3 linked regions of the Astyanax mexicanus genome follow. The main gene of each other region encodes a partner of the protein of the gene in region 2 in a complex. Links are inferred from orthologs where the notes say so. Each region holds a gene or a part of one and is shown on either strand. Other genes may lie near its edges.

Evidence for each region.
Region 1: alyref (region 2) and SAP domain-containing ribonucleoprotein share a complex: the UniProt entries of both Homo sapiens proteins name them as parts of the transcription/export (TREX) complex. The link is inferred for Astyanax mexicanus from reciprocal best matches to the Homo sapiens genes ALYREF and SARNP.
Region 3: alyref (region 2) and thoc1 share a complex: the UniProt entries of both Homo sapiens proteins name them as parts of the transcription/export (TREX) complex. The link is inferred for Astyanax mexicanus from reciprocal best matches to the Homo sapiens genes ALYREF and THOC1.

What each region holds. Positions count from the first base shown.
Region 1 is NC_064431.1:13,310,017-13,314,138, forward strand, and holds the start of SAP domain-containing ribonucleoprotein, read left to right. Parts: upstream 1-1,530; 5' UTR 1,531-1,611; intron 1,612-2,357; exon of another isoform or gene 2,358-2,391; intron 2,392-2,680; 5' UTR 2,681-2,774; coding exon 2,775-2,807; intron 2,808-4,122. UniProt on the Homo sapiens protein: Binds both single-stranded and double-stranded DNA with higher affinity for the single-stranded form. Specifically binds to scaffold/matrix attachment region DNA. Also binds single-stranded RNA. Enhances RNA unwinding activity of DDX39A.
Region 2 is NW_026040069.1:87,365-91,486, reverse strand, and holds the start of alyref (THO complex subunit 4), read right to left. Parts: upstream 3,190-4,122; 5' UTR 3,025-3,189; coding exon 2,767-3,024; intron 1,114-2,766; coding exon 952-1,113; intron 860-951; coding exon 712-859; intron 502-711; coding exon 435-501; intron 355-434; coding exon 162-354; intron 1-161. UniProt on the Homo sapiens protein: Functions as an mRNA export adapter; component of the transcription/export (TREX) complex which is thought to couple mRNA transcription, processing and nuclear export, and specifically associates with spliced mRNA and not with unspliced pre-mRNA.
Region 3 is NC_064415.1:2,583,284-2,587,405, reverse strand, and holds the start of thoc1 (THO complex subunit 1), read right to left. Parts: upstream 3,098-4,122; 5' UTR 3,047-3,097; coding exon 2,999-3,046; intron 1,268-2,998; coding exon 1,194-1,267; intron 1-1,193. UniProt on the Homo sapiens protein: Component of the THO subcomplex of the TREX complex which is thought to couple mRNA transcription, processing and nuclear export, and which specifically associates with spliced mRNA and not with unspliced pre-mRNA.

The sequences.
Region 1 (4,122 bases), on a different chromosome or scaffold from region 2:
CTTTTTGGAAGGTGTGTGTCCTGTTACGTCTGGCGCAAAACATAATGCATAATTTTAGAAAAATAACATTATACTTAATGTAAAACATGGTGGTGGTAAACAGCAGCAATCATTACCATACAGATGAGGGTCACTATTATAATTTATCATTCAAAACCCTGCTAAAAAATACAGCTCAAGACTCCAGCTGGTCATCCAGAAAAAAAAAACATTCCCTGTGCTAGGATTGCCACCCATTCTGTAAAATATGGAATCGCCCTTTATTTGGCAAAAAATATCTTCAGTAGTTCCATAAATGTCAACACTGCAGACATGTAAGAACACAGAAGAGTCGTGTTATGACTGATTTCATATCTAGTTGTGCTTCTGGCTGAAGATGTCGTGAATTAGGCATAACTTATTTTGTTTTACTGTTGTGGTAAATTAAGAAACCAGTTCAGTTTCTGAATCAGTTTCTCTGATTTAGCTATTTATAGGTTCATGTTTGAGTAAAATTAACATTGTTGTTTTATTCTATAAAATATGGACAAAGTTTCTCCGAAATTCCAAATAAAAGCATTGTCATTTAGAGCATTTATTTGCAGAAAATGAGAAATGGCTAAAATAACAAAAAAGATGCAAATCTTTCAGACCTTAAATAAAGCAAGAAAACAAGTTTATATTCATAAAGTTTTACGAGTTTAGAATTCAATATTTGGTGGAATAACCCTGTTTTTTATCACAGTTTTCATGCATTTTGGCATGTTCTCCTCCACCGGTCTTACACACTGCTTTTGGATAACTTTACACCACTCCTAGTGCAAAAATTCAAGCAGTTCAGCTTGGTTTGATGGCTTCTGATCGTCCATCTTCCTTTTAATTATATTCCAGAGGCTTTCAATTTGGTAAAATTAAAGAAACTCATCATTTTTAATGGTCTCTGTTTTGTGTGTGTGTGTATGTATACATATATACAGTTTATTTAGTTTATATTTTAAAAGTTCTTTATTGCACCCTACACACAAACAGATTATTAAAGACTGAATAAACTGTACTTTTTTTGGAGAATGTATTCACTGCTTTCTTGATCGTCCCTTTACTGTAAACACCAGCACTAAATAAAACATACCCCTGCTGCAGGCACCACACCCCACAGGAGTCACCCAGTGGGGGTCATGGATCAGAGGAGCCGTGGTATGGAAGTAAAACAGTGTCACCAGATTTTGAAATTTAAAAGCACTTGAATTTTTAGCACTGAATTATTTTACATTGAATTATTGCATGTGATTTTTTTGCCTCTGAATTAAACACTTTAGTTTTTCAGTATATCATTTTCACTTATTTTATTTTAATGTAAAAAAATTCAAAAGCAAAAATTCAAGTTTTAAAAATTCAATTAAAATAAATTCAGGTTGCTCAAATTCGACCTGTCAAATTCGACTGCTAAAATACAACGCTCAAAATTCGCTGTCAACATCCGGGACACACAGGATGAGCAATCGATTCAGTCTTCAATCGAGCCAACAACCAGCCAATCACATCACGCTCCGAAGATCACGTGACAGGTAGCGCCTCACGGCCCAGAGCCGCTCAACGCGAGTCACAGCCCCCACCGCTGCTGCTGTGGAGAAGGTGAGTTTAAAACAGCTTAAAACAGGGCATTTACCTCACCACTGTGGCCATGTAATATCACTTAAACGGTGTAGAAATCCTCACTTTAACCACGGTTTGCTCTGTGGTTTGTAAAAATATTAAATTAAGATAGATATCCAGATATACCTTTTTAAACTAAATAAATAAATAAATAAATAAAGCTCCTCTGTTCATTTCAGAAAGCACTTCAAACACGAACACTAGATCAATTATTTATAAATACAGACAGACTGTGTGGAAGATAATTACTACTGTAGAATCTGAGATAGTAACTTAGTTAGCTTAATTATAGCTACCTATCTTGCAAGTTAGCTGTGGGACTGTGCGATTATAGACAAGATACTACCTAGTTAGTGGTTTGTTTAGCAATACCTTATTTACACTTTGCTGCAAAGTATGTTGCTTAGTGTACTGGCCACTGTCTAAATAAATATATTTAGCTATATTACACTTACTATACCCCTCTCAGGCTTGTCCTCTCATATCAAAATGTGGTTGGGAGTTCTAAGACAAATTTTGAGACAAAGTGGTGAAATAAAGTGTAAGTAGTTAGCTGAATTGGTAATATTTGTGTGAAATAAGCCTTTGAATCTGTGATATTATATTAAGGAGTAGTAAGTCATTATTTTCGCTAGGTGGCAGTGTCGCGAAAACATAGGGTTCTAGAACTGCGGTCCTGAAACTGCAGGGTCCTAAAACTGCAGTCTCCGTAATTTCCTGAGGACAGAAATGGCACCTACTTGGTGGAGTGGCCCATATGTATGGAGCTATGAAAGAACAGTACAGAATATATAGTGGGCATCCATCATTTTATTTCTGATTTTTAATTTATAATGGTCATGAGCTAGATGTTTTAGATGGGGCCTGTTGTAAATTGTTTTGTTATTGTGTTATTTATTATGCCCAGTCCACAGAAATAGTATTATTGAAAGTAATCTTTATGTTCATTTATATTTGTAATAATTTCATGTGTATTATTATAAGCCGTATAACCAGTTTATTGTCAGTAAAATCGTTGGTCTGATTTAAATAAACCCCTCTCCTGTAGTTGAAGTGAATCAGTCTGAGGGCGGCGCTGCAGCACTGACCGCGCTCTGAGCCACAGAAGAGGGGAGAAGCCTGTAGTGGAGAAGGAGCTAAAAATGGCTGAAGTCGTAGAACTCCAGAAACTGAAGGTAATAAACTAATTTATTCGAGTTAAACGAGAATTTCGTGCTTATATGGATAAATAGAACCGGTTTTTAATCTGATTTATTAGAGAAGTGAAGGGTATAGCGCTCAGTCCACCTTTAGAAAGCTAGTCAACTAGCTAGCTTAGCTTAGCTAGCTAACGTTAGCTTAGCGTTCAGGCTACACCTCACTGCATGTTTACAGAGCTGTTTAATTTAGTGTATGTTATTTTGTTAGCTGTTCTACATACTGCAAATAAAATATTGAGGAGTTTAAAAGTGGATAAAAAAAACAGACCTAGGTTTACCTTATTCGTCGCTTCTGGGCTGTACTTTAAACATTTGTTAAAAATTTAAGTTCCACCTTAAATTGTATCTAAACTAACTGGTGCTAGCTAGTTTAGCTACAATGTGTAAGTTGGTTTTATATGCTTAAAGTAGTTGAAAATCTGAGAATATAGAGATAAACACACTCTTTACTGGTTAATCAGCTCTTAACCAGCTAAAAAATATCATGGCTAGCTCAAGCGAGTCAGGCTGGTTAAACTGGTTGACCAGTTTTGGTCAGTAGATTAAAAGGTTTGTGTTTTTGTTGGTCTACAAGCTAAACAGCCAGTATAACCAACTTGGGGTTTATTTACAGTGGTAAATTGAACCCATTACTATGAATATGCTTCCTTTTAAGTCATATAGTGGACCTACACGTGTTTAATAGCTCTTGCTGTTTGTTAACTACATAATTATGGTAATTCTAGAAACATCTAAGCCTTCTGTTGGTACTGTCTTTCTCTTTTCACAGCCAGTTTTTTTAAAACAGTGTTTTAAAAAATCACACCTTCTCATTCAAATATTTTCTTCATTTATTTCTTTCTTTCTACATTGTAGATTAATATTAAATACATAAAAATCCTCCACAGTCCCCTTATCTAAACCATGAAATTGAGAGCAACTTTTGTCAAGATACTGAGAAAACTATTCCAGGTGACTCTCCCTCATGAAAAAACAATAGTGTGTAGATCTGTCCTCAAAGCTAAATGTGCTACTTAATTCCTATCCGAATGGGATTAGTTTCTTAGGGGGACGTCTGTGAAAAATACTTCACACTTGTACTCGTGATAAAACTCTTGCATCCGGTCTGCAATTAAAACAATAGGTGAGTTTTTTTGGCTTTCTTGGTCAAGTGTGTGTTTAGTAGCTTCTCCATTTCCACTTTTTCTTTTGTTTACGTAGATCTCCATTGAAACGCGCACCCAAAGTGAAATTAAGCAATAAAATCACAGAGGCCCCCATTAAAAGAGAAAATCCCCCCAGAAACCCCCTG
Region 2 (4,122 bases):
AAAAACTCATTTTACTCCTCGTCAAATCACTGTCCCAGCCACTTTATTCAGGAGCATAACACTACTTTAAATCTCCATTCCACCTTAAATACTGCTTGACCCCAAAGACAGGGTTTAGGGGTCTGAAGGAGACATGAGTGAGCCATAGTCAGGTTACGTACCCTGGCATTGTAGGCATCTAGCTGAGCGTCCAGTTCTTCTGCCGAGAGCTGCTGTTTGTTATTGCCTCTTCCACCTCCTCCTCTACCGCGGCCTCGGAGTCCTCCACCCCGACCTCCACGGCCTCGCTGTAAACCCCCGAAACCCCCGGTTCTGTTCCTGTTCATTCCTCCTCCTCCACCACCTCGATTCAAACTAAAATTGAAACAGAAATTATTAGGTGAACATAAATAAACCCTCACTAATTCAGACAGAGCAGGAGAACCTGTACTGACCCCTGCATCGGGGCTCGCCTCTGAGCGTCAATCTGTGATGTCACCAGCTGAATGTTCATTGGACGACCTGTGGAAAAAAATAATTACATTTAAAAACTTCGTAATAAGTGACAAGCGAATAAATCTGTAAAAGATTAGCAATTCCAACTAAACCCTACACCAACCATTTCTACCTTTGGGCAATAACACATCTGAACTCACTCAGAAGGAAGAAATGGCTGATTTAGGTTTAAGCTTCTCTGAAAAGGAACAAGTAGAATAAAATCAAAAAGCTCACCATCCAGTGGAACCCCATTGTACTGCTTCATAGCCTTCAGAGCGTCTGCTTTTCTCTCGAAGTGAACGTCTGCGGTGCCGAGGCTCCGCCCCGACCGGTCATAATGCACCGCAGCTTTCTTCAGAGTGCCGAATTCAGCGAAGAGTTCCTTCGGACAAAAACAAGCGAAGTCAGGATTCAAATCCAAGACTGTGCGTTTTAATACAGACCCCCCCCCCCAAATCTACTGCACCACTGTACCTGAATATCTGCGTCTGAGACGCCGAAGTCCAGATTGGACACCAGCAGTTTTCCTCCAGTCTCCACTCCAGCTCCGCCGCCGCCACCACCGCCACCTCCAGCACCGGCACTGTAGCCGTTATCGAACAGGTCATGCTGCCACTTGTCGGGGAGCTGCTTCGGCTGCAACAGACGAAAGAGAACGCACCTGCTGACTTCGGGTCCCGGCTGGCACTGACTGTCCACTCGGCAGGGTGCTGGGGCAAGCAGGGCCCCGCCTCAACCAGGCCAGCGCATCTGGCGCTCACCACGATTTCCAGCCACCCCTGCCCACCCCATCACTACACAAGTACGCCAGTGCAGGGAAAGGAGGCAACAGAGAAAACTACACACTGACTAAAACTGCAGTTTTAAACATTTTAAAAAGAGCCCTCAATAAACTCATACGTATGCAAAGAATAACTCAAACCAAATAAACAGATTAAAAAATGTAAGGCAGTTATAAGAACAGAACGTGACTTTTAAAAGTTATTGCCAAAACCAGTTGGCCCATGATTACGCCCCATTTTTGCCCACATGCTAGGCTACCATCAACATACAGGAAGCAGTTTTAGTCTAAAATAACCATTAAAAACAGTCCTAACCCAACTTTTAACTGTTACTCGTCAAAAACTGTGCCTTTACTACAGATTCACTGAACCATATAGCAACCAAAAGTACCATAAAATGATTTATACAGAAATACATTTTTTTTTTAGAAATCAAAAAGTCATTCAGGTTGTTTACGTAAAAGAGCAGATGTGGAAGTAAATAAGATGTGTTAGTAAAGAGCAGAACACCAGTTACTGCCAGCAAAAGAGTAAAAAATAATAAAATGATTAACTGACTAAGGTTTGCTAGTATTTCCAGGTAAATCTGTGGTAATATGCTAATCAGAATGTGTATATAACTGCAAACCAAACATTACTACTAGAAATTGTATTTATAATACAGATTGTGTTGGTGATTAATATCTGGATTGTGTTTTCTGATGTGATCTCAGGTTAAAACTGCTAAACTAACAAACCCCAGAGTCTTTAAATAAATCTCTGCAGGTCTTCAGAGTTCAGATCTCCAGAAGAAACAGGTGGTGGATTCAGCCAGTCCATCAAAAAATTAAAAATGGAGATAAAAATAGAGTCCAGTGCTGCCTGATTAAAGCTCTTGAGGAACTGAAGAGATCAGCGTCCATTTTGAGAGCACGCCATTTTGACTGAGCTAACTTTATATAAGTGTTTATATAATCTCCTATAAACTCTAAACCTGCAGCAGAGATTAACACAGATTTAGAGATTAAAGAGTCCATTCTTCATAAGGAGAATCCGCGGTGAATCTGATATTCAGGCTGAAATTAAAGCCGTTTCTCTTCATCAGACTCCGAACAAAAGATCCGCACTCTTCAGCTCCCGCAAAAAACACAAAACACCGCCGGTCTCCCCGCTGATCTCCGGGTCTCCAGACCCGCCTGGACGCTGAGAGCAGAACTCTGGAGGAGAATAAAGCAGCAGATCCTCCGCTTCTCCCTTTTTTCTCAATCACTTCTTCACTATTTCTCCATTTCACTGCGCCCCGCTGCTGCTGTTCCAAAATGGCGCCGGCCTGTGTGCCCTAGTTAGGGCGCTTTAGCCACGCTGGATCCGCTCAGCTAAACCCCGTGGGAGAACCGAGGTTTTGGTTTTGGGGGGGAAGAGAGAACAATAATGCACAACACATTTTATAGGAACATTTTTCCGGAGAGGCCCGGGTTCGGGCTGAGCTAGGCCCGGGCCCTGCGGCCGCTGCTGCGGATTCTCCTACCCTGCTGTACGGCGCGGGTCTGCCGCCTCTGCCGCGGCCCAGGCTCTGCCGGCTCCGCATGGGCCCCACCGCTCCTCCGCCCCGGCCTCCGAATCCTCCGGCACCGAGTCTCCCCACGCTGCCGCCGCGGCCCCCGCCGGCTCCCACTCCCCGGCCCCGGCCGCCTCTCCCCCCGCGGCCTCCGCCTCCACCACCGCCGCGCTGCTGCTTATTCTGCTTAATAATGTCATCCAGAGACATGTCCATCTTATCCGCCATGCTGACCCTGCGCTATACTTCTCTTATACTCCGCTATATACTACACTAATACTCAGCTATACTCCTGTATACACCGCAGTATAAACTCTATAATCACGCGCCGCTGATACCCGGATCTATCACCCGCGCGCCCCGCCGACCGGAAACTGCTCCCTGCCGCCCTCACGCGCTTATAAGCAAGGAGACAGTGACGCACTTCCGCACAACATTACTTCCGCCGCTGGGCGGAGACAACTCAACAACAACAAAGATACATATATGTATATACACACATATATAAATACCTCACTAAAACATCAGGCCTAAATCATTAATGCTTTAATTTCCTGTTTTTTAAACCAGTTAATTTATTTCTGTTTAATCTTAACTTTACTCCAACACTGTGACTAAAGTGCAGCAAATCTGACAATAAATAATCTCCAGTGTTTTACAGTTATTTAAACTTTCCCTTTTAATGAGTTCTACTAAGAGAAATCTATCAAAGTTTAAAAACTAACTTCCAACTACCAAAATTTTATCTAGTTTCCTTACTTTAATACATACACAGTGAATAAACATGGAACAGTTCAACAGCACTGGAACTGGGGAACTTTTTTTTACATTGTGAGACGTAACTTCTAAAAATCTAATAATTCAAATAAAGCAGGGGTATGAAAATGTTTTCATCGGTTTTAAAGGAAATAAACACAAATCATACAATGCAAGATTTTCACTAATGCTTTCTTAAAATTCTTTAATTTAAACCCAATATTAACACTAACACTATTCTATTAGAGAGCATATGCGCAATAATTCTGTACTAAATTTCCATAGCAATATTTATTATAGTATATATGTATCATAGTTCAGGTGAGAATTAGAGCTTTTGTGTTTCTGTGGACCAAACTGAATTCTCACAACCAGAGAAAAAAGCCCATTTGCTGTATTATTCTTATTATTGTTACTTTATTCACTTTAAGGTGTTTCAGATAGATGGACTGTTTTACACATCTTATTAAGGCGATCACTCAGAGACTCAGAAAGCCATTGACAATTGATCAGGTGAATGGTCAGCTATTCTCACCTGTGCTCAGGTGAAAAGCAGCCTATTGTTCTTCC
Region 3 (4,122 bases), on a different chromosome or scaffold from region 2:
TCCTGCACTCACACTGCGCTAAACGATCCGTGCCCGAGCACGCTTTCGTCATCAACAGGCGACTTTTGTTTTGAAGAACAGTATGCGCGCGCAAAACAATGGAGTTCAGGATTGTACTGTTGTTTTTGTTTATCTGGAGTCGTTTTGGGCGTGCAAATACGCAACTGAACCAGAGATTCATTGATTGTGCAACACAACGATTTACTGCTAATCGTGCTGCACGTGTAAGAAGGTTTTTACACAAGCAGCAGACGTCCAGGGAGAAATTTGCAGCTTTACTCGCGGACTACAATTCACGTTCATCAGTAAGGTAAGAGACGTACTTGCTATATACATAAATAGTGACCAAAGGAGCGAAACATAAAACTCAAGTAATAATAAAATGTGTTTGTTGTTTAGGACTTGTAGATAGTAGTCCTAATTTATTATGGGTAACACTAACCATTATGGTGCTCTTTAGAACCCTTTTCAAAAATATTATATGCAGAATTGTGTATAAAACGTCCTCCGTTTACAGTAGCGTCGCATCACTGACGTCATCTTGATCCGTGCCCGGGCACGGTTTGCGCTCACACTGCATCTGTACCGTGCCCGGGTCCAAGTGAACCGTGCTTGGGCCCACCTCTCCAAGCGGGCCCGGGCACGGTTCGGAGCGATCACACTAGCCAAACGAACCGTGCTTTGGGAGGTAACCGTGCCCGGGCCCGGTTCGGATTGCCTAGTGTGAGTACACCCTTAATTTCACTACACTGTGTACCTGTACTCAGATATAATGACAATAAAAAACCTCTTGACTTGATTTGATCGAAGCAATATTTTTATTATTTTTAGTTAAAAATATTCATTTATTTTATTTTTCTTCCGGGCTTGTGTCTCATTGTGGAGAAGGTTCTCTACTAGATACTTCACAGTTTTTATTTAATCATAAAACAGACATGAAAAACCATAAATAAAGCCATGCAACAAAGAAAAAAAAGCATATTTAGTTCATTATATAAACATATATTTTATAAACACATAATTATAAGTAAATACAGTAAACAGCAAAATAAATATTGCAATATTACCATAGAGTTGTTTTTTATAGTGTATGCAGAATTACTTTATAAGATCATTTTCTCGAGCCCGACCCGAGAGGACCCGAGTTCGGTTCGGGTTCAGGCAGAAATCTAAACTCTAAATCAGAAACTCACGTTCCAGACAGGTGACTGAAGGCGCTGGTGAGGGGTTTACAGCTCCGAGCTCCCAGAGCACTTCCTGTACCCGCCTGCAGAGGAGATACACAACTTATATTTAATCATATATACATTAATAATACAATTATTAGACTTTTTTGTCCATTCAACGTCCACTTCATCCGCTTCTTTCACCCTGTCAATCATACAACACACATACATAACATGCATAATATCATTTCTGCTGATTTCAGTTTTACCCATTCTGTTATTACTCAGTGGGAGGAGCCCTTTACCTGGATAACACAGCGTGTAAACTTTCTTCTGCTTAAAAAACAGTGGAGTTATTTCATTTCTGTTTTAATAATTGAGATTATTTACCCATTTTTCATATTAATAATAATGGCAACCCATAAGAGCCCAAGCTATTTTCTGAATAATGAGGCTAAACTCAAAACTGATTCATGTTTACAGATCATTCATGTTTTTTTTTTGTTTTTTTGTAAAAACATGACTTAATGTTTTAAGGTAAAATTTTGTTGAAAGATAAATGACGCCAAATTCATAAATCATTTTGTTCTAAAAAATCAGGTCAGAATTAGTTATATGGAATGTAAAACAAAAAATAAAGCACTGAATGGTTGGCACAAACCTATAAAAACAACAGCAGAAAAACGTGTATAAACGTGCATCTGCAGTCATTTTCTGGCAAAAACATTTTTTTATTTTCTGGTAAAATTGGTTGGTAAAAGTTACCAACACTTTCAGCCATGACTGTAGTATGTATTTCACACGCTGACAGAGCTGGGCAAAAAGATAAAAATATATCACAATATTTAAGAACAGTTTTTAATGATACACAGCAATAATCATGTTTTGAGACGAAATCTAAATTAAGTAAAAGTGGTAGATTCTGCTATTCAGATATTCAAATGCTCTTTTATAATCAGTACAGTGATTATTATATTTTTGCTGTACATTATCCAATTAAATTGATATTTTTACAGTCTGTAATGAAATGTAGCTTCAGTTGGGACAGTGCACTTTAATTATTTATCATATTGTCGATATTCTTAAAAAAGGCATATCTATAAAAAAAAACAATCATTGATATTCTTAAAAAACATTATCACTGATTTTCCTAAAATAAAAAGAATTTTTTTTAAAAAAGTTATATCGTTGATGTTCTTTTAAAAAAAGAGCATATAACTTTAGTTGATTAAAATAAATCGTCTTTGTTTAAAAAAATATTTATATTCTAAAAAAAAAAACCCTACATAATCGATATTCTTTAAAAAAAAGCATATCGCCGATTTTCCTAAAAAAAAAAGCATATTGCTGATATTCTTTTAAAAATCGTCTATATTTAAAAAACTAATCAATATTTTTTTAAACAAACCCTAAAAACATCAACGATATTCTTTGAAAAAAAGCATATTGTCGAAATGATGAGAAAATTAATCACGATAGGATAAGAAATCGGTATATTGCTCAGCTCTATAAGTAATTCAGTTCAATAGCTTGAGTTTCCATAAACACTGAACATCTGAATCAGCAACGTTTCTTTGAATTACCCGTTCTACCTTAAATTGAGCATTAGCTGCTGTCTATCGCCTCTCAGCACTACAATGAAACAGCGACGGTATTTAAGGTGGACCGGAGAGTTACGCAGAAAAGCTACAGCCTCTCCATAAACACAGTGAAAAAACATGCCTTAATAAGGCGCTACCCGCCCAAACAGCACAGCTTTTTCATCTACAGCTGTTATAGAGTAAAACTGCACTAAAACTACAGTAAAAACGAGTCTAAAAGCGTGTTTTTACCGTGAGTTTCTCCCGCGCTTCCAGCAGGTTAAACACGCCGGGAGACATCTTTACCGCTACAGCCCTCCTTACTGCTACACATCCGGGTCATTTACTGCCTGCAAACCGCACCTCCACCAGCAGGGGGCGCCACCGGCCCGCCGAGAAAATTACACTTTACAAAATAAAAGTCATTGCTGGCTCTGAGAAAAAATGCTATCAGAAATTAGAAAAAAAAACAATTATCAAAAAATGAATTAATTTATATAAGAAGCATAGAACATGTAATGAGTTCATAACATATTTTGACGTAAAAAATAAAACAATATATAATAAGCGTAAAGAAATTTGACACACCTTAAATACATAAATTATTTTTTAATTATTTTAAATAGTTTTATATTGTTCTGCATTATATGTATATAGTACTAAACTCTTTCAAACTATGAAGAAAAACACCTACTACTACAACAAAAGGAAAACTAGATTAATTAAGAAATAAAACAATAATTCATTTAATTGAATGAATGAATAAAAAATAAATGTGTAATGAATTACATTTCTGTGAATAAATGATTAATAATAACATTAAAAAAGAAGTAGAAGAGGAAGAGGAAGAAGAAGAAGAAGAAGAAGAAGAAGCAGAAGAATGGGAAGTGAAAGATTTATTCAAATACAATTATTAATAATTAATTTAATCAATGAATGGGTGAGTGAATTAAGTATTGAATATATAAGTAAATGTGTAAATAAATTAGTTAATTAATTAATGAGCATTATATTAATATTAGATTAATGTAGAGATACATTACATTTAGAATAATGTAGATTTAATATAAATTATGAAACTGAACCAGTTTGTATTTATTGTTCTGGTTGGGAGTAAATATATGTGTGTGGTGGTGCTGATGTTTCTGATTACAGTAATAAAAGTCTCGGGTTTCTCCACTTTACAGTAATGGCTTATTCTGAGAGCTTGATTTGCATTAAAGTGTAAAATAATGACTTTTCCCATAAAACCCATTTAAACACTGAGCTGCTAATGACCTGCAGATCTGATTTCTGTACAGTGATCGCTCTGCTCTGTTCACTACAGACTCACCACAGACTCACTACTGCTAATGACCTACGGATCTGCTCTGTTC